Linked DNA regions of Mus musculus. The protein of the gene in region 1 interacts with the protein of each later gene in a pairwise test. Links are inferred from orthologs where the notes say so. Each region holds a gene or a part of one and is shown in the gene's direction. Other genes may lie near its edges.

Region 1 (5,082 bases):
CATTTTTTGATACATAACTGGTAGGCCAGCCTAGGAATCATGAGACGCTGCTTAAAACAAACCCTCCCTGGGCTGGGAGATGGCTCAGCGGGTAAGAACACACTCTCTGCAGTCCTGAGTACCAAAAGTAGCATCCCAAGCTGGATAGCTCACAAGTGTCTGTTACCTCGCTCTGTGGAGAATGGAAACACTATTATTGAGCCTAGCCAAGAAAATGTGGACTCCAGGCTCAAGGAGATAGTGTGCCTTAAAGAAATGGCAAAGGGTGGTAGAGGGCAAACTAATAGAAATCTTAATCCCTCTGCCACAAAAATAAAGTGAGTACAACTGAACCAGGGTGAGTGTAATGATTTTGGAAATTCTTTAAAAATATCTTATGCTTTCTTTTCTCTTTTGCAGACAGTTCATCATCATTGTGTGTGGTGGTCAGCACAGTTGGTAAACTGTGTGAGATAATTAACAAGGATGTGAGTGAGCAGGTTAAACAAGTGTTAGGACCTGAGGATCTACAAAGGTATTTGTTAGAAATGCATCTAGAGTAAAAGCTCCAAGCTCTCCCAGCCCCTGACTGTCCGTGTTGGCAGTGACAGGGCCCAGGGGTCCTTGAACTCTGTGTAGATCAGGGTGGCCCTGAACCAAAAAAGAGCTGCCTGCCTCTGCCTCCAGAGTGCTGCCACCAAAGATGTGTCACATGTACTCAAGATAAAAACTGTTGGGGCTGTAAGCTCACAAAGGGATGTTGGGAAGTTTAGCAGAACTCACCCTTGGGGAAAGTTGTATATGGAGAAATTAAAATCTTTATAACCAATTCTTGAGTTGGATTATAACATATAATTTATTTCTAGGACACTACCAAAACTAATAATTACTAGTCATATTTTTTTGTTTAGAAGATAAATATTAAGGATTTTTAAAAGACTATGTACCACCAATGTAAAAACCTGATGTTTTAAAAAGTACATTATGAGAATGTGTTTGTGTGTGTATGTGTGTGTATGTATTGTGTTTATATATATGCATATATGTATATGCATATATGTATATGCATATACATATATGCATATATATAAACATATAAGACATATATGTATATATAAACACACACACATGTATCATCTATATATTCTGCATATTTTCCAGTAAGAACCCTTATATAATCTGGCAGTTGAGTTTTTCATACCGTCTCTCAGGCCTCTCCGCTCCTTCCATTGTTTTACTGACCACTGGTACCTTCTGTTCAGTTGAATATTGGGTAAAGAAGCCTATTTCTAGCAGATGTTCTAAAGGTGGTGCTTTTTTGTAAACTGTGTATGTTTTAAACAGTATTATCAAGAAATTGGAAGAGCATGAGGAATTTTTCCCAGCGTTTCAAGCTTTTGCTAATGATCTTCTTGAAATCTTAGGTGAGATGTCTGTTGATGGTGGCTGACTCTTTCTTGGAAGGTGTTGGTGGATTTGAAGGGGTATTCCTTAGAAATTAGGTTCATGTCTTACTCTAGGTGTTTGGAAAGTAATAACTACTTTGCAGGAAGACTTGGTTAGGATTAATTTACAGAATAGAAAAACAGCCTATAAAGAAATAAAAACTATCTTTTTCTTTTCTTTTTAAATATTTTTATATGTGTATAGATATTTGCCTGCATGTATGTATGGAGGCCAGAAGAGATGGTCTGATACTCTGAAACTAGAGTTATAGTCAGTTAGCTACTGTTGGTGCTGGGAACTGGCCCCAGGTCCTCTTATAAGAGCAGCAGGTGCTTCTAACTGCTGAGTCATCTCTTCAGCCCTCTGGGACTATCTTGAGAAATGGCATTATTTTGTGAGACTCTGGGTTCTATCATTGTTTATTAAAACATGACCAAGCAAAATAAGCTAGAAAAATGTAGAGCCTGCTGCTTGGAACCTTCCAAGGGATGGTGTCTGGCTAAGGGAAAGTACTTGCTTCCTCTGAGAACAAGAGCTTTAGAGAGTGAATTCTGGCTCAGGGTCACTGAAGTCTGATACCTTAGGAGAAAAATCAATCTCCGAAAGAACCGGAACTGCTGTGTCCGGAAGTTCATACAGGATAGGCTGTGTCCCTGAGGCTTGTTCTAAGGTGTCCCACACCTCTTACTGGACAAATCTCCCCAAAGAAGGCTGAGAACACTCTGAGACTAGAAGAATCAGGAAGGAGCACTGTCTGTGAGACCTGCAAAAGAGATGCATGTCTTCAATGTCTAATGGGACTCATGTTGGCTTGCCCATGTAGCTGTACAGAGATTTAAAGAGAGACAAAGGCATCATAAACACAGCCAACTGGATGTGTTACTAAGCCTGTGTCTGGTAAGATTAATGCCAGTCAATGGGGGCGCTGCAGATTCCCTGTGAATCCCCTGTGGGAGGCAGTGGTAGTCTGCAGCCAACCTGGGAGAGAACCCTGTGCACAACTGAGCACGCAGCTACTGCTGCCCTTGTGTGTGAAGGCGGCTTCTGCGGAGAGCGTCTCACATCTCTGAGCTTTGCACTGGAAACATCGCTCCCTTTCTAATTCCTCCTTTTCCTGTTACAGAGATTGATGACCTGGATGCCATCGTACCTGCAGTAAAGAAATTAAAGATCCTTTCATACTGAAAACAAACCAGGTCAACTTCACTGTGTAAACTGCATTCGTAACATTCTAAGCATTTGTAAAGGTCTGATCCTGAGACAAGGCTGTACACAATCAGCTCTCAGAATTCATCCTCTCACCCCGGGTCTGCTCAACCCATATAATTTTTATTTTTGATTATTTAATAAAATGTAGCTGTTAAGTTATTAAAATAGTGAGTTAACTTTAGATTCCTTAATCGTTTCCTAAGCAATGCTTGAGTGCTGTAAAATGTAAGGAAGAGATTGTGGGTAACAAAAGAGACATTGCAAAGTACAGAAAGTCGCAGTTAACTTCAAGGTTTAATGACCCTTTGGTCAGAGAAAAAAGAATGCCAGTTGCTTTCTAAGCCCAACGGATAGGAAGCCTCTGTTCTCCAGGCAAGGATTAGTGGGCATATTCTATAAGAAAACTTACAGCTATTGCCCTGTCAAAGCAAGAAGGAAAGGTTTTGTCTTTGTATTAAGATAGGAAGTTAGTCATGGAGTGAAATAGATGATTAGGTAGAAGTGTTTCTGTGTCTTTATTTGCAATACTATGTAATGTACTTTTATAAAGAAATAAGATCACAAATAAAGTTTTCGTAAAGAGTTTCCAAACGTAAGTGTCCCTAGTGACTTATTTGTATGGCTAACAATAAAGAGTCGTCTTCTCCCCCTAGGCTGACTCCCTTGGGCGTTATCCTCCCTGCACGTCACTGAAGAGGCCTGTTCTTACTGCTGTCTACTGGATCTCTAGTCTCAGTATTCAGTCTGATGGCGGGGGCAGTGTCCTGCATCACACCCATGACTACAAGCTACTTTAGGCTACCCCATATGCTTCTTTTTAAAATGCCACTCTTACTGGTTGATATATAGATTATTTTAAGTATTTCCAGGAGGCCAGCATAGTGGTATGGCGAGTGCCAGTGAACAGGGATTCAGACTCCTAGGAGTTGTGACTTGGACAACATAAAATAATATCTTAGGTTCCTTCTTACTTTATAGTCCTTTGCTTTGTCACCCTGTAGTTAAATTTCTAAATAGTAACCCAGTGGTTTTCGACCTTCCTAACGCTGTGACCCTTTAGTTCACTTCCTCATGCTGTGGTGAACCCAACCATGAAATTGTTTTCATTGCTATTTCACAACTGTAATCTTGCTACTCTTATGAATTGTAATGTAAATATTTGTGTTTCTGATAATCTTAGGTGACCCCTGTGAAAGGGTCATTCAAGCCCCCAAAGGGGTTGTGACCCATAGATTGAGAAACTGCTATAACTAACCCATAACCTGTAGAATGTTTTGATGAAGTTGTTTTAAAAAACATTTGGTTATTTATTCTGAATTGATTGAATTACTCTCAAGAAAATTTTGTGAGGATTGGAAGTCTTTCTAAAACTTTGGATATGGTTTAATTTTATTAATTTTAAGTGTGTGTGTGTGTGTCTGTGCATGCACATCATGTGTGATTGCAGGTACCCATGGAGTCCAGAAAAGGGTGCTGGATTCCCGGAGCTGGAGTTACCTGCAGCTGTGACCGACCCAATGTGGGTACTGAACTGAACTGAACTCTGGTTCTCTGCAAGAGCACTGGGCACTCATAACCACTGAGTAGCTCACTGGCCCAAAGGTTGGAAGTCTTGACAATGTGCAGTGTGTGTGTGTGTGTGTGTGTGTGTGTGTGTGTGTGTACATGCACGTGTTTAAGATGGGTTGTCCCATATTCCAGGTTGGCTTTTGAACTCACTATTGCCAAAGCTAACTTTGAACTCTGCACCACCCTCAAGTGATAATATTAGAGGCGTATGCCCCCACATCTGGCCTTAACAATATTTGAGAAAAAAAGAAATGCAACTAAAAGATTATAATAGGGGTTAGAGAGAAGGCTCAGCAGTTAAGAATGTTCATTCTTGCAGAGCGTCCTACTTCAGTGTCTATGTGAGTTCCCATGTTGGGTGACTCTCAACTGCCTGTACCTCCAGCTCTAAGGAGATCCAGTGCCTCCTACCTCAGGCCTCTATAGGCACCTGTACTCACATAATAAGATCTCTTAGAGATTTTATTAACCTAAATTTTAGCAGTAAGTTTTAATCTCATAGCTAACTCTTAGTTTAAGACAGATTTCAAATCCTTTTCCAGAGGACAAGAGTGTTTTAGAAATGCCTCAAGGGCGATTCAAGACTGTCACACTGATAGAAATCGTTTTTAGACTCTGTTTGTTTGTTTGTTTTTGTTTTTCGAGACAGGGTTTCTCCGTATAGCCCTGGCTGTCCTGGAACTCACTTTGTAGGCCAGGCTGGCCTCGAACTCAGAAATCCGCCTGCCTCTGCCTCCCAAGTGCTGGGATTAAAGGCGTGCACCACCACTGCCCAGCTAGTTTTTAGACTCTTGCTGATAGAAGACGTGATATGTCTACTTTTATCTAATTTTAGTTGTTTAAAACTATAAAAGTCCTGCAGTTTCTGACTTATGTATA
Region 2 (6,572 bases), on another chromosome or scaffold:
TCTTTTTGGTTGGTTCTGTGTATATATTTCACTTTTTGTATCTTGCAAAGCCCTTCCCATAACGAGGACTGGGGAACATAAGAGCCAATATTCTTGGAGGCACCAGCTTGACCTCTTCATACACAGTGACTAGTGTAAGTCTGCTAGTTAGCAATGAAGACTTATTGTCAGTTTGTAAAAAGCAACACCTTTTTTGTCAATGCCCTGCAGTGTTTGCTTATTTTTATGAAACCACTTTGTAGAAAACTCAGTTGATAAAACCCAGTGGAAAAGACAAGATCAACTGGAACTCCATCTCTTTCAGAATTCAGAGACTTCATTAGAATCACCTTCATACACTTGTAAGCTGGTTTGCTTTTAAAAAAAAATATTCCAAACATCTTACTAAGAATACAGCCAGCCAAACTCCATGGAATCTTGTACCATGATGCTTTTCTATGCATTGGCAGAACCACAAGTGTGGCATTGCAGTGTACAAAAGTTCTTACCTTCCAATAGATGGTGATTTTTCTTGGACCTTACAACCATAGTTAGTGCTATTTGAAGATATTTAAGATTTAAAACTGCAGTTTTACTGTGTATTCAACTTTATGGTTTAGCATTTTGGGGGGGGGGGTGGTTCGAGACAGGGTTTCTCTGTGTAGCCCTGGCTGTACTGGAACTCACTTTGTAGACCAGGCTGGCCTCGAACTCAGAAATCCACCTGTCTCTGCCTCCCGAGTGCTGGGATTAAAGGCGTGCGCTACCACGCCCGGCCTGCATTTTTTTTCAAAGAACAATGTAAAAACAAACATTATTTTCCTTGTATTTCTCTTGTTATTAACTTTTAAAACCTAATGTGATGCATTGGTGCAAAGATAATTTATTGATACAATGGTAATTTATGTACTTTTTCAAGGCATGTCCAGAAACTGCCTGAGTGTCATTTGCTGAAATCATGAAATGCAGAGGCTTAGCGCAACCTTCCAAAATGAATATACCATTATGTGTACTGATTGATAAAAGGTGATGTCTGTAATCACTTGGAGCCAGTTACCTCTTCCTTTTTAAAACTCTGTTAAAGATTTCTGTATACTATACCATTCCTTCCCCATGTAATGGGGTTTTCTTGATGTTCCTGAAAATATTGCAAAGGTCTTTCTTAAGACCAGCAATGGAGATAAAAAATGTAAACAGACATACATACAGAGTACACAGATAGACACAAACACGGAGACAGAAGGCAGACACACAGGAAGAAAAAGATACACAAGCAGTATTCCACAAGTTTCAGATTTAAATTAACTGAATAGACACACAGGATGGAAGGCTCAGATAAGAGGAAGTAGCAAATTCAACTTTGGAGTCACAGTTAGTTAAATTACCTCTGAGGGAAAGGCTATTGATTCTTTCCTTAACTCAGATGCATTATTAATCACCAGTGTGTTTAATCTGTTCACATATGCAGAATCAATTAACTTGTGACATAATTTCTCTCTCTCTCTCTCTCTCTCTCTCTCTTTTTTTTTTTTTGCATAAGCACAATATGGGAAAATTTAAAACTCACCACAATGGGTAACAAGTAGCCCTGCATTCTGAAAGGTGTCCATGGGCTCAGAACCCTGTTCTTTAAAGAAAGACCATCAGGTCTGGGCTTGTGCTTCTGAGCTCTCACTTCCATGCTAGCCTAGAATCCATTTTAACCTAACATGCATCACAACAGGTTTTGAACCTCAGAGGTCACAAGAGAATCCTGGAACTCATTACTTTCATGAAAAGAGTTGACTTCCAGCCATATTCTCTAAGGGGAATTGGGTAATTCTCGAGTCTGCTTTCCCCAGCCTATGAAGATATGCATGGGTGTACATAGAGTATTATAGAGCACAATCAGGGAATCTTCTATGAGCAAATGGCTAAACAGTGCAGTATGTATTGTAGGTCTCTTTCTATTTCCTTCCTTCCTTCCTTCCTTCCTTTCTTCCTTCCTTCCTTCCTTCCTTCCTTCCTTCCTTCCTTCCTTCTTCTCTTCCTTCCTTCTTTCATTTCTTTGTTCTTTCTTTTGACAAAAATCTAGACACTTTTATAAGGGATTTTTCTTATTGCCTCACACTTCAAGCAGTAAATATTTGCCTAAACCTAACATCATTTTAATTCATCATTTTCTTTGACTAAGGTATCCAGCTCCTCTACCTTTTGTCCAAGTCTAATAATCTGTCTCCCACACGTTGTCTATGAGTTATTATTATTTGCCTTACTGCATATTCTTTTCAGGCTCTTTTCCTTGTTTATTTCTAAGCACATATTGAACTCAATTTTCATATCCTATGTTGTCCTCCTTTCCTTCAGGCATTTGCTATTATTCTCTTGCACACGAATCATTTTGTTCCTGTCCTCTTTCAGTTGATATATGTGGCTTACACACTTTGATCTATTTGATCATGACTCTGGGTTTTCAATTCTTTACCTAGGATATCATGTAAATTGCTCTCTTTCTAAGATACATGCACAGTTGATAGTTTGAGCCAAAGACATTTTGTCTTAGTTTTACTTTGTTTTGGGTATTGAGCATCAGAATTCAGAGGGACTGCTTAATTGTGTGCATTTTTAGACTAGACTCACAATGTGAGAAGTTAGGCAGGATCCGTTGTATCTGAAGGGTTCAGAACCCAGGTGAAGTGTCCTACTACATTCAGTTCTGGTCTAGTCTGGCAGCAACCTTTTGAGAAGCTGAGTAGAGTAGGTGCTGAGAAGTTGTGTTTCCACAACAGAGTTGGAGGAGTGGTTCCTGATGGGGAGGGTGGGCCTCCTGCATGATTAGATAAGTTTAAGAAAAAGACAAAATAAAACGAAGAATCAATCAATCAAAAAATCAATCAATGAATTAAGTAAGTAAGTAAGCAAGCAAGCAAGCAAGTAAGCAAGCAATAATCCAAATCAACAAAAATTGCTCTGAAGAACTGGGAAGCTAATTAATTAAGAAGTCCTGAAGGAGGTACGCTTAGAAGAATGGCAGGAAGCTGCTGAGTATTGGGCGGGTCCAGAAGGAGTGGCTCTGAGGAACCAGGAGGAAGTGACAGGAAGTTCCGCGATTCCAGCCTTCTCCATGTATCTTGGCTGCCTCGTGGTCAGGAAGTCATGGAGGGAGACTAGTGCCTAGTGTTTGCAGAACCTGAAAACTTCCTTAAGCTGCAGTTGCTGTGCTGGCTTCCTAGGACATTCAGCAGCTGGTCCTGTCACCTGCCAGGTCAGAGGAGCTCTTGGGTTGGGAAATGGGTAGGATAGGGCAGGCATGTGGAGCAGGGGTGCATTTTCTGTCGCCACTCTTACAATTCTGTTGTGGATATCTTACCATTATCAGGAAGTTTGAGATCCTGTAAATTGAGTTTATGGTGATGTTTTAATTGATTTTATGGTTGCCAGAATATTTTTCTAAAACAACCCTGTAGATCCTTGGCCCTCTCTGGAGTTTGTATACTGGGAGGGTTGTCTTTGCTAAGGCCTTAATAAAGCTCCTCGATTTCAGATTCATTCATGCTTTCTTAACTCCCCTGTTCCTCCATTTGCCATTTCATTTCCCTTTCTCCTGCAAACTGAGTAGGCATCCCGAGAGAGCTTTGTAGATATTTGTCATATGGGGACCAGTGCAGATTTGATAGAATTAGAAAATATTCCTTATAAAGCACCATCATATGGCTGTAAATATTAACATTAACCAAGCAAAGTTATATTCTCCATTAGCTGAACACAGAGGTATATGTATTCTTTGATGTAAATACATCTTTGAGAAATGTGTCTACATATGCTTTGTTATTAATGTCACACCTTAGGTTTGAATAAAACATGAAGACAGGATTGCAGCAAGGTACTTGCGAGGAGAAATTTCCTTAAGGAAATGAGGACAACATAGGAAATTTCCTTAAGGAAATGAGGACAATCATATGAAAATTGAATTTAATAGGTGGTTATAAATACAATACAAAAAAAAAGAAAGAAAAGAAAAGAAGAAAAAAGACCCTGAAAAGAAAATGCAGTAAGGTGAATAATAATCATTCATAGAGAATGTGTGTGAGACAGATTATCAGACTTGAAGATATATAGTAGGTTCTGTTAACCCTGAGTGTCACCAGAGAAAAACCAATTCCACCATGTGGGCCAGCTTTATCAAATAATTCATCCTGACCAAGTGATAGATTTTGGTCACATGCTACAGGCATTTTTTAGGCCATTGTAGTTTCCTATGAGGCTTTATTATTTTCCTAAGACGTGCAACCTGCAGCACTTCAAGAAGATACCTGGTTCTTGTGCTGATGGTGAGGTTAATTTTTGTCATTTCAGTCTGAGGGAGAAAACATTCAGAGATATCTGGTTGGGTCCAGACTGAAAAGGACCATCGTGTGGGGGAGGGGAATTGAGGATGTGATGGAGGATAGAGGGGCAGGTCAAGAGATAACCAGCAGCCAAGAAAGCACCTATCCAACTATGAGTTCATTGATATGTTAACAGGTACCCCAGGTAGCCATTCTTCCTGAATTTCTTTGAATTTTTCCAAAGTTCAGCCCAGCATGCTGTGCAGTGATGCTTTCAGGAATAGATATTTTAATAAGTGGAAAATTTACTATGGATTTTTTTGTGTTTTTTTTGTTTTTTGTTTTTTGATTTTTTTCGAGACAGGGTTTCTCTGTGTAGCCCTGGCTGTCCTGGAACTCATTTTGTAGACCAAGCTGGCCTCGGATTCAGAAATCTGCCTGCCTCTGCCTCCCAAGTGCTGGGATTAAAGGAGTGTGCCACCACTGCCCATCTTTTACTATGGATTAAGACAAAATTAGACAGCATCTTTTGAATAATTTTGAACTCTTACTTACTGGATTACTGTCTGGATTCTGGATCAGAATAATTTTCTTCCAGTCTTCCCTCCTCCTCTTCTGTGTTGCTTGGAAAAAGACTGTATGTGTGTTAACTGTGTGACTGACTCTCACATCTTTAGGGTAAATGAAATACTCAGAGAAAAGTAGGTATTCTCTTGATATCTTCTCCTCATGTTTATCCTTTTCTCGGGTATTGACATCTTTCATTTTTGTTCCATGAACAGTTCCATGTTCATTCTAAACAATATTTACCCATTTTCAGGTCTCCATATGCTCAGTCAAATCTCCATAACTGTAAATCAACACTAAGAGCACTAGGAGGTTAAAGGTCAAGGAGACTCTCACAAAGGATCCAGATATGTTAGAGGTATTGAACAATGGGTGGAGTTGGGCTCACCTGTTAGTAGAAAGAGGACATGAATTTGATTTTGCCAGATTCTATTTCCTTAATGAATCTGGAAAAGAATAATATTAGATGTGATGATATGGATTTACCATGGAAGGCAGTGCTTTCAGCTGTCACTTGATGTCAATATTTAATTAATTTTGATCCTGGGAAATTGCTGCTGCCCATTGAAATCAAAGTTTCTTTTATCCAAATTGAAAGCAGCATCAGGCTATGGGTGTGACAAGGGCAATTTATACATAAAGCAGATGTCAGCAGTAGATTCCCTCCTAGGGCCTGTGACCTTCCTTACTGGATTTTTAGGCAGATTTTCACTGTAATCTATGGATTTTTTTTCCTGTGGAGCTTGAAACAGAAAACCTTCTGTTACCCACAGATATTCTCGCCAGTATCATAAAAATTTCCATGTCTTTTCTGGCAGATTCAGATTGCCGCAAGCGGGTTGCAAACCTGAGTATAGACATTGATAACTCTGCTTCCTGCCCCAATTTGCCTAGCAGTTTTTTTCACTATGGAAATTCCCACCAGGGTGTCTAAGATGTCTGTTGAGAGTGAATGGTCTGATATTTGGTGGTTTTCTCCAGAAGGTCTACTTGCTTTCTGAATCACCTATTCTATACACTCTAAATAATTTCCTGTCCTTGACCTGTGTTCTTAATTGATGTTCAGTATTGCATTAATCCCCATTAGAGTGGAATAATTATTTTTGACCTTCTCTGTACTGGTTGCATTAGTTTTGAGTCTGTTTGCCTTATTTCTGAGGTATGTTTCTTCCCTTCTATTCTTGAGAGCTTTCATACTGAGCAGTGTCTACATTTTACCACAGGGCTGTATAAGTAAGTTTCATTCTCCTATTGTCAGTGTAATTTGGGAGGATTCCTGCCTACATCTTTTAACCTAGACCTAGTCATGTAAGCTTCTACTCTCCATACAGTATTATCTAAGGCCTGATGTGTTTTCAGCCTCTGAACTTTGCTGCTGAATAAGCCCCTCCTCCCCCCACCTTCTTATTCCTTCTCAATGCTTACCTGGCTGATTCAATTCAATTTTTCCAGCTCAAACTCTTCTCTGAGCTGAGTTCTTCTCTCAGACACTGAATTGTTCCACTTGGCCTTAAATTTACTGTAGAAGTCTTTTCTCATCTTCTGGCTCCTTCTCTTTCTCCTGCTCATTCTGTCTTTACCTGTTCCTAGCATGTTCTCTCTTCAGTCTGATTCTGTAAAACTCTCAGAACCCAGATGCAGTGTCCTAGTACATCCAGCTCTGGTCTAGTCTGGCAGCAACATTGTGGGGAAGCTGTGCAGAGTAGGTCCAGAGAAGTT
Region 3 (6,370 bases), on another chromosome or scaffold:
CCTTGTCATCTAGAACTACTTTGGTGCCTCCATATTCTGGGAGAAGAACTTTATCTCCAACTTTCACACTGACAGGCTCAATCTCTCCACTCTGATGAAAACAGTCACTTGTTAGCCAAGAGTCTGCTTGTCTTGTTCATTAGACACACAGTGAACTTTTTGTTTCAGTATGCACACCAGGGGCCTCCTGCCTCAGGTTTGTATTATAGGCATTAACCAGTCACATTAAACTCTGTAACTTTTAAATCACTAAATTAATGAAATGTGCCCAAACCAGTATGTTCTTAGGTACCTAATTAGTGGTTAAGCAATATAATTTACATTAAATATAGATCCCTACAATATAAGAATTGCATAGTTACAATATGAAGGAGACACTCACTAAAACTTCATTTCAGTGGACAACTAAGGCTGGCTAACTTTCTACTGTTAAATATTAACACACCCTGTAGACCAAGTAAAATAAAGCAGCTTGTACCACCAGACGGTAAATGATCATGTATGATTCCTTTCAACAAAAATTCGGCATTACCTTTCTCCGTTTAATATACATTTACTGACTGAATGCCCTTGTTATCTATCAAGAGACTGAAGTGGAATGTCTACTCCCCCTAATACTCTCGCGATTTAGTTAAGTAAAGAACACCCACAGTAGTTCCACCTCCCTTCTCAAGTCTCATGCCAACTAAAACTCAATGGTGTAAGATTAAAACTATTTCAGTGTCTGGGCTCCCCCACCCCTGCCACTTCACCCTTTCTTTTTGGGGAAGGGAGAGGGAGACAGGGTCTATATCAAAATTGACAGGCCATCAATTCCGGATCCTTCTACCTCAGCACTATACCCTTCTCCCAACCTGTGCTTAGAATTAGTTCTGTGCCTTATTAATAAATACCTCCTTCAGCTCTGAAATGGCCGTGGGGGTTTATCTACTTGCGCGATCTTTTTGTCTATTTAAAATTTGAAGAACAGGATATAAAATAGCTACAGAGGTTATTTCATATTGTAAGATTTTGTTTTACTTTTTTGGGACATGGTCTCATCCTGTACCTCCTGCTGGCCTAAAAAGATTCTACAGTCCACCTGCCTTAGGCTCCAAAGAACCTGGGCCACAGGCATGAGCCACCATCAAGGCAGGCACTTTTCAGCCTCTAGAGCTTGGGGCACTGCAGAGTTAGCTCAGTGGGTAAACAGGTAAGTAGACTTGCTATGAAAGTAGGGGAGCCCAAACCAGGATCCTAAAACTAGAGTAAAAAGGCTGTAACCCGCAACATGTTGAGGCCCAGAAACCAGACTAGTCAACACTTTACCCCAAAGGAGTAAGGTGGAGATGCCCCTGCTACACAGCATATAGACATGTGCAAACACGTCACACAAATACCTTTTGCCTTTCTTCAGAAACATAAAATAATTCTAAAACAATATAAAACAGTCATTTTCCTGAATGGGAGGTTCTTTGTGAATTGAAATTTGACTTGAAATTCTTCCCCCCAAAAATGCCATTGTAATTCATTTTTTTAATTACCAAAGGAATTCCCCTCCTTCCACATCACACTGGAATTCAGTACCACTCCAGGGGCACCAGTTTACCTTTCCTTTCCCTCCTGACCCCACAGCCACGACCGTTGCTTGCAACACTTTTCCTTGAGACTTTTCTGGAAGCATAATGCCACCTTTGGTTACAGTTTCGGCAGCACTCCTTTCAACCAATACTCTGTCAAAGAGCGGAAGAAACTTCCTAAAAGCTTGTCCAGCCTGTGGAGAGAAATGTGATCAAACAGAGTGTAAGTTCGAAGTGTCAGAACACGAACAGTTAAGACCACCGCAAGCCTTAACTCTCAACAGGTCAAAACTGACCTGTTCCAAAAAGGACAAGAAAATTCAAGTGTACTTTTAGAATATACTCAGTGTTCCACTCTATATAGGACAAACTGAGTTTCATTTCCCTGTCTGGTGTGTGTGTGTGTGTGGTGGTGGTGGTGGGGGGGGGTCTTCATTACTAATCAGCAATCGCCACCTTGATCTATTCCAAGGTCAAACATTTCTTTAATTTTTTTAAAAATTCGAATAACGGGGGAGTGGCGTCACTTTTCGAGCCTGGATCTTAGTCTTTCTCCAACATAGGACACATCCACTGAAGCCCTGCCAGGGCAGGTGGGCTTCTGCGTGTGCATCGGGTTCCCGCCCCCTGCCCCAGACGCTTTGTCGCACACGTGCGTGCGGCAAAGCCATGGTGGAGAGAGAAATGGCCTCGCTTCTGCAGAGCCATGGGCGGACACCGGACACTGACCAGACCCCGGACCCCTGTCCTATTAGTCCCAAAGCGCACAAGGGTTCGCCGTGGGCCGCAGGCCGAACTGGACCCGCAGGCCTGCCAACCACGAGACACTCACCATGACTCTCGCCTTCGCCGCCACCACCGCAGCTCCGGACTCTGAACTCGGGCCGCTGCTGCAAGGAGAGTCCTGCTGGCCGGCTGGGACACGTGAAAAGGCCGCGCAGCGCGCAGGCGCACTCAGCCCCCCGAGCGTGAGAGGGGGCGGCCACGCCGACGCGCGCGCCGATTGGTGGCGAGGGCTCCGCGCAAGGGGGCCGACGCGGGCGGCCGGAGGCGGAAGAAAAGGGGAGCACTTTCTAGGCTTTTCCAGGCCGGCCGCCGAGGTGAAAGAACGAGCCCCCCTCCCGGAAATGACGCCACTTGACCTTTCACCCACGGGACGCGCGGGGCCTTCCGGAAGGTTCTAGAACGGACCGTGGCCCAGGAACCAGCGTAGGGCGGCGGGAGAGGGCTGAGGCCGCAGAGCTGAGGCGGCTCTGGTACGGAGGGCGGGGCCGCGCGCGCCGCATGCAGATTGCAGGGCCCCGGCGTGGGAGAGAGCGGGGGGCGCGCGCGCGCACACGCGGGGCCGCGGGGCGGGGCGGGGAGGGAGGGGACTCGGGCTCATTGCGGTGCGCGCCCAGAGCTGGGTCCCTCACTCGCCGCAGACGGCCTGCCTCGCCTCGTGCTCTCCTGCCGCCGCCCCGCAGGTACGCGGCCTCGGCGTGCAGGGCGCCCCGGCGCTCGCGGGGGGCTGCTTGCAGCGCGGACCGAGCACGGAGGACTAGGGGGAGAAGTCTGGCAGCGACGCCGCAGGCTCGGCTCACTTGTCCAGGCCCAGCGGGGCCACGCTGGTTTCATCACGTGTGGCGGGGACCACGCGATCCAGGCCGAGCGCCGGAGCAAGGGCGGGCTAGGGTGGAAGCAACTTGGGCCCTCTGGTGCCACCTGCGCCTGGCGCACTGCAGGACTCTGTGGGAGGGTGGTCGGGGTCCTTTAGTCCCCGGTGGCCGCGGCGGTCCGGTGTTCACTTTGACCTTGCTCGGGGCTCCTGGTCGGGAAGACACGTGGGGCCGCGAGGCTGGACTGACCTACTGTCTTTTCCTCCGGCCTTGCTAGCTGCTGTGTTACCGTAGCTTCGGGTGGATACCTGGCGACACACTCAGAGGGTTTTGCACCGTCATGAGTACTTCTGTAGTTCTCTAGGCAATTGCATTTAGAACCTGCCTTGCTTGCACCAACTTGATTTTTTTCCTTTGGACACTTTTCGGAGTGGATCTGCTCCCAAGGCCGCTTTGGCAGTGAAAGATTAACTTGAGAGGGCAGAGTGGGTGGCCATGGGGATGTGGTTTTCTGTGCTTTGTGCTTATGCTGTTGGTCAGGCTTGGGGTCAGCCTCCATGATCAGTTGGCTAGCAGATTATGCCCTGAATCTGCAGCGCCCAGGCATGGTGGTTAGCAGAGGACAGCCCAGCTCCAATCTAGCCTCCCATGTTTTGAAGCACCGTTGGACAAGTTTGTAGTGATTTTTCTTTTTTCCTTCCCCAGAAATGCTTCGACTACCCACAGTCCTTCGCCAGATGAGACCAGTGTCCCGGGCACTGGCTCCTCATCTCACTCGGGCCTATGCCAAAGATGTAAAATTTGGTGCGGACGCTCGAGCCTTAATGCTTCAAGGTGTAGACCTTTTAGCAGATGCTGTAGCTGTTACAATGGGGCCAAAGGTACCAGTATACTTAAATGGTGTTAAAGAATATAGTAGCTGCAAGACAGCAATTTGTTATCAAGTTTTGTGAAAAATCTAATTTGCATGTGGTACAACTTAGTGGTCTAGAGGTGTTATTTAGTCAGGAGGTCTATTGGTCATTCTACCACCATGGTGTCCTTACTACTGCTCCAGGCGATTTGGGGGACTTTTGTACATTGTGATGTAATAGAGTAGTAATATCTCAAGGAGGATTTTCAAACTATAGTCATGATTTTGTGCATGCTTGCATTAAATTTTGGATCTCGTCCCAGTAGTTAGAGGGTATAGAGGGGAAAGTACAACTTAAGTCTAATAATACCTCAAAGTATATAGCTGTAATGTGAGAGTTCACTCATTGTGCTGAAATACTCCAACACATAAGGCAAAATGCACTAGCATAGAATCATTGGTTTCTGTGTTTTTTGTTTTGTTTTTTTAAGTAACTAAACCTTTTTTTTTCAAGATTTATTTATTATATGTAAGTACACTGTAGCTGTTTTCAGGCACACCAGAAGAGGGTGTCAGATCTCATTACGGGTGGTTGTGAGCCACCATGTGGTTGCTGGGATTTGAAGGTTGCTGGGACCTTCGGAAGAGCAGTCAGTGCTCTTACCCGCTGAGCCATCTTTACAAACTTTACTTTATGGGCTTTGTTGTTTGGGGGTTTTGTTTTTAAGACAGCATTTCTCCGGTAGCCTAGACTGTCCTGAGACTCAGAGCGATCCATCCACCAGCTTCTGCAACACATATCACCAGACTGTTTTCACTTGCCCTTGGGAGAAAACCTTTGTGGTCTTCCATTCGTCCCTTCATTGTACACCTCGTGATTGCTACAATTTTCACATTGCAAAAAAATTGTCCAGTTTTTGCTTTTGAGAGAGTCTCACTAGCTTAGTCTGAGTTCTAACTCCCTTGTGGCAAGGCTGTCCTTGAACAACTTACATCTCAAGTGTAGGAATTCAGTATTATACTCACAGGGTCTCTAACCATAGCTGGCCAAGTCAGCCTTGAACTCAGAGCAGTGCTAAGATCAGAGGTTGTGATCACACATTTGTGTGGCTGAATAGGGAGCTATAGTACTTTGAGGACACCATTGGATGTGGTGCACAGTCATTTTAAATTAATGCTAAACTGGTCTAAAGAGCTGCATAATCCCAACACTCAGGAGGCTTAGGCTGGTAGTTCTCTAAGTTTCAGGAAAGCATGGCAACAATAGAAATCCTGTCTTGAAAAACAAAACAACAAAAAAACCTGCATCTTTTTTTTTTTTCTCGTATTTTCCTCAATTACATTTCCAATGCTATCCCAAAAGTCTTCCACACATGCACCCCCCCCCCCAAAACCTGCATCTTTAAGAACTGTTTACATAGCTCAAGACAATAGAAGTTTGGTTCAAATCCAAAAGTTGCCAATACTTGTTGGTGTCATATTTGAAGTTTTTTATTGAGCGAACCAGAAAAGCACATTATCTTACTGGCTGATATTTAGTGAATGAATTTTAAAGCAAAACATGTTTTAAAAATAGTTCATAAGCAGGGCTGTAGTGGTAGTGGTGCATGCCTCTAATTCCAGCTAGCCTTTAGGAGGCAGAGGCAAGCAGATCTTTGTGTTTTGTGAGTTTGAGGACAGGAAAGGCTACACAGAAATGTCCTGTCTCAGAAAACAAAATAAACCTAGGTCATAGCCAAAACTCAAGTGCAAATGATGTGAAGAGTGTTCTGGGATTTGGCGATTAACATCTGTGCTTTCTTGTTTTATGGGTGGCATCTGTTAGTACCAGGGAATTCCTGTTGTGCTTCATTCAATGTTGGACTCCTGGCAAATGATCAGTGCTCATTTTTTATAGACCTAAGATGGTTGATTAACGTGGCTTTGAGATTCATGTTGCAGGATGGTTAAAAATGACAAATTTGAGGGTTATCATTGAGGGTTGCTTTTTTTTTCCCTGTCGCTGTAGGGAAGAACTGTGATTATTGAACAGAGTTGGGGAAGTCCCAAAGTAACAAAAGATGGGGTCACTGTTGCAAAGTCAATTGATTTAAAGGATAAATACAAAAATATTGGAGCTAAACTTGTTCAGGACGTTGCCAATAACACAAACGAAGAGGCTGGGGATGGCACCACCACTGCCACTGTTCTGGCACGATCTATTGCCAAGGAGGGCTTTGAGAAGATCAGCAAAGGGGCTAATCCAGTGGAAATCCGGAGAGGTAAGAGTATATCATTGATCTTATCCTGTAAAGAATTCTGTTGTCTTTATCTTTGTCCTTTTTATTACATTCGTTGTAGAGTTTGTGAGTGTTCATTCT

Evidence for each region. The genes of interacting proteins can lie anywhere in the genome.
Region 2: the proteins of Cep70 (region 1) and Zfp985 interact in binary tests that used the Homo sapiens proteins (3 or more experiments, as listed by UniProt). The two-hybrid records come from large-scale screens. The link is inferred for Mus musculus from reciprocal best matches to the Homo sapiens genes CEP70 and ZNF578.
Region 3: the proteins of Cep70 (region 1) and Hspd1 interact in binary tests that used the Homo sapiens proteins (3 or more experiments, as listed by UniProt). The two-hybrid records come from large-scale screens. The link is inferred for Mus musculus from reciprocal best matches to the Homo sapiens genes CEP70 and HSPD1.

What each region holds. Positions count from the first base shown.
Region 1 is NC_000075.6:99,297,180-99,302,261, forward strand, and holds the end of Cep70 (centrosomal protein of 70 kDa), read left to right. Parts: intron 1-399; coding exon 400-514; exon of another isoform or gene 515-1,323; coding exon 1,324-1,403; intron 1,404-1,827; exon of another isoform or gene 1,828-2,548; coding exon 2,549-2,610; 3' UTR 2,611-3,225; downstream 3,226-5,082.
Region 2 is NC_000070.6:147,550,204-147,556,775, forward strand, and holds the start of Zfp985 (uncharacterized protein LOC433804), read left to right. Parts: upstream 1-3,073; 5' UTR 3,074-3,223; intron 3,224-6,572. UniProt on the Homo sapiens protein: May be involved in transcriptional regulation.
Region 3 is NC_000067.6:55,084,434-55,090,803, reverse strand, and holds the start of Hspd1 (60 kDa heat shock protein, mitochondrial), read left to right. Parts: upstream 1-2,871; 5' UTR 2,872-3,025; intron 3,026-3,862; 5' UTR 3,863-3,864; coding exon 3,865-4,038; intron 4,039-6,018; coding exon 6,019-6,271; intron 6,272-6,370. Other genes in the region: Hspe1 (10 kDa heat shock protein, mitochondrial), read right to left, coding at 2-91, 1,589-1,753, 2,392-2,394. UniProt on the Homo sapiens protein: Chaperonin implicated in mitochondrial protein import and macromolecular assembly. Together with Hsp10, facilitates the correct folding of imported proteins.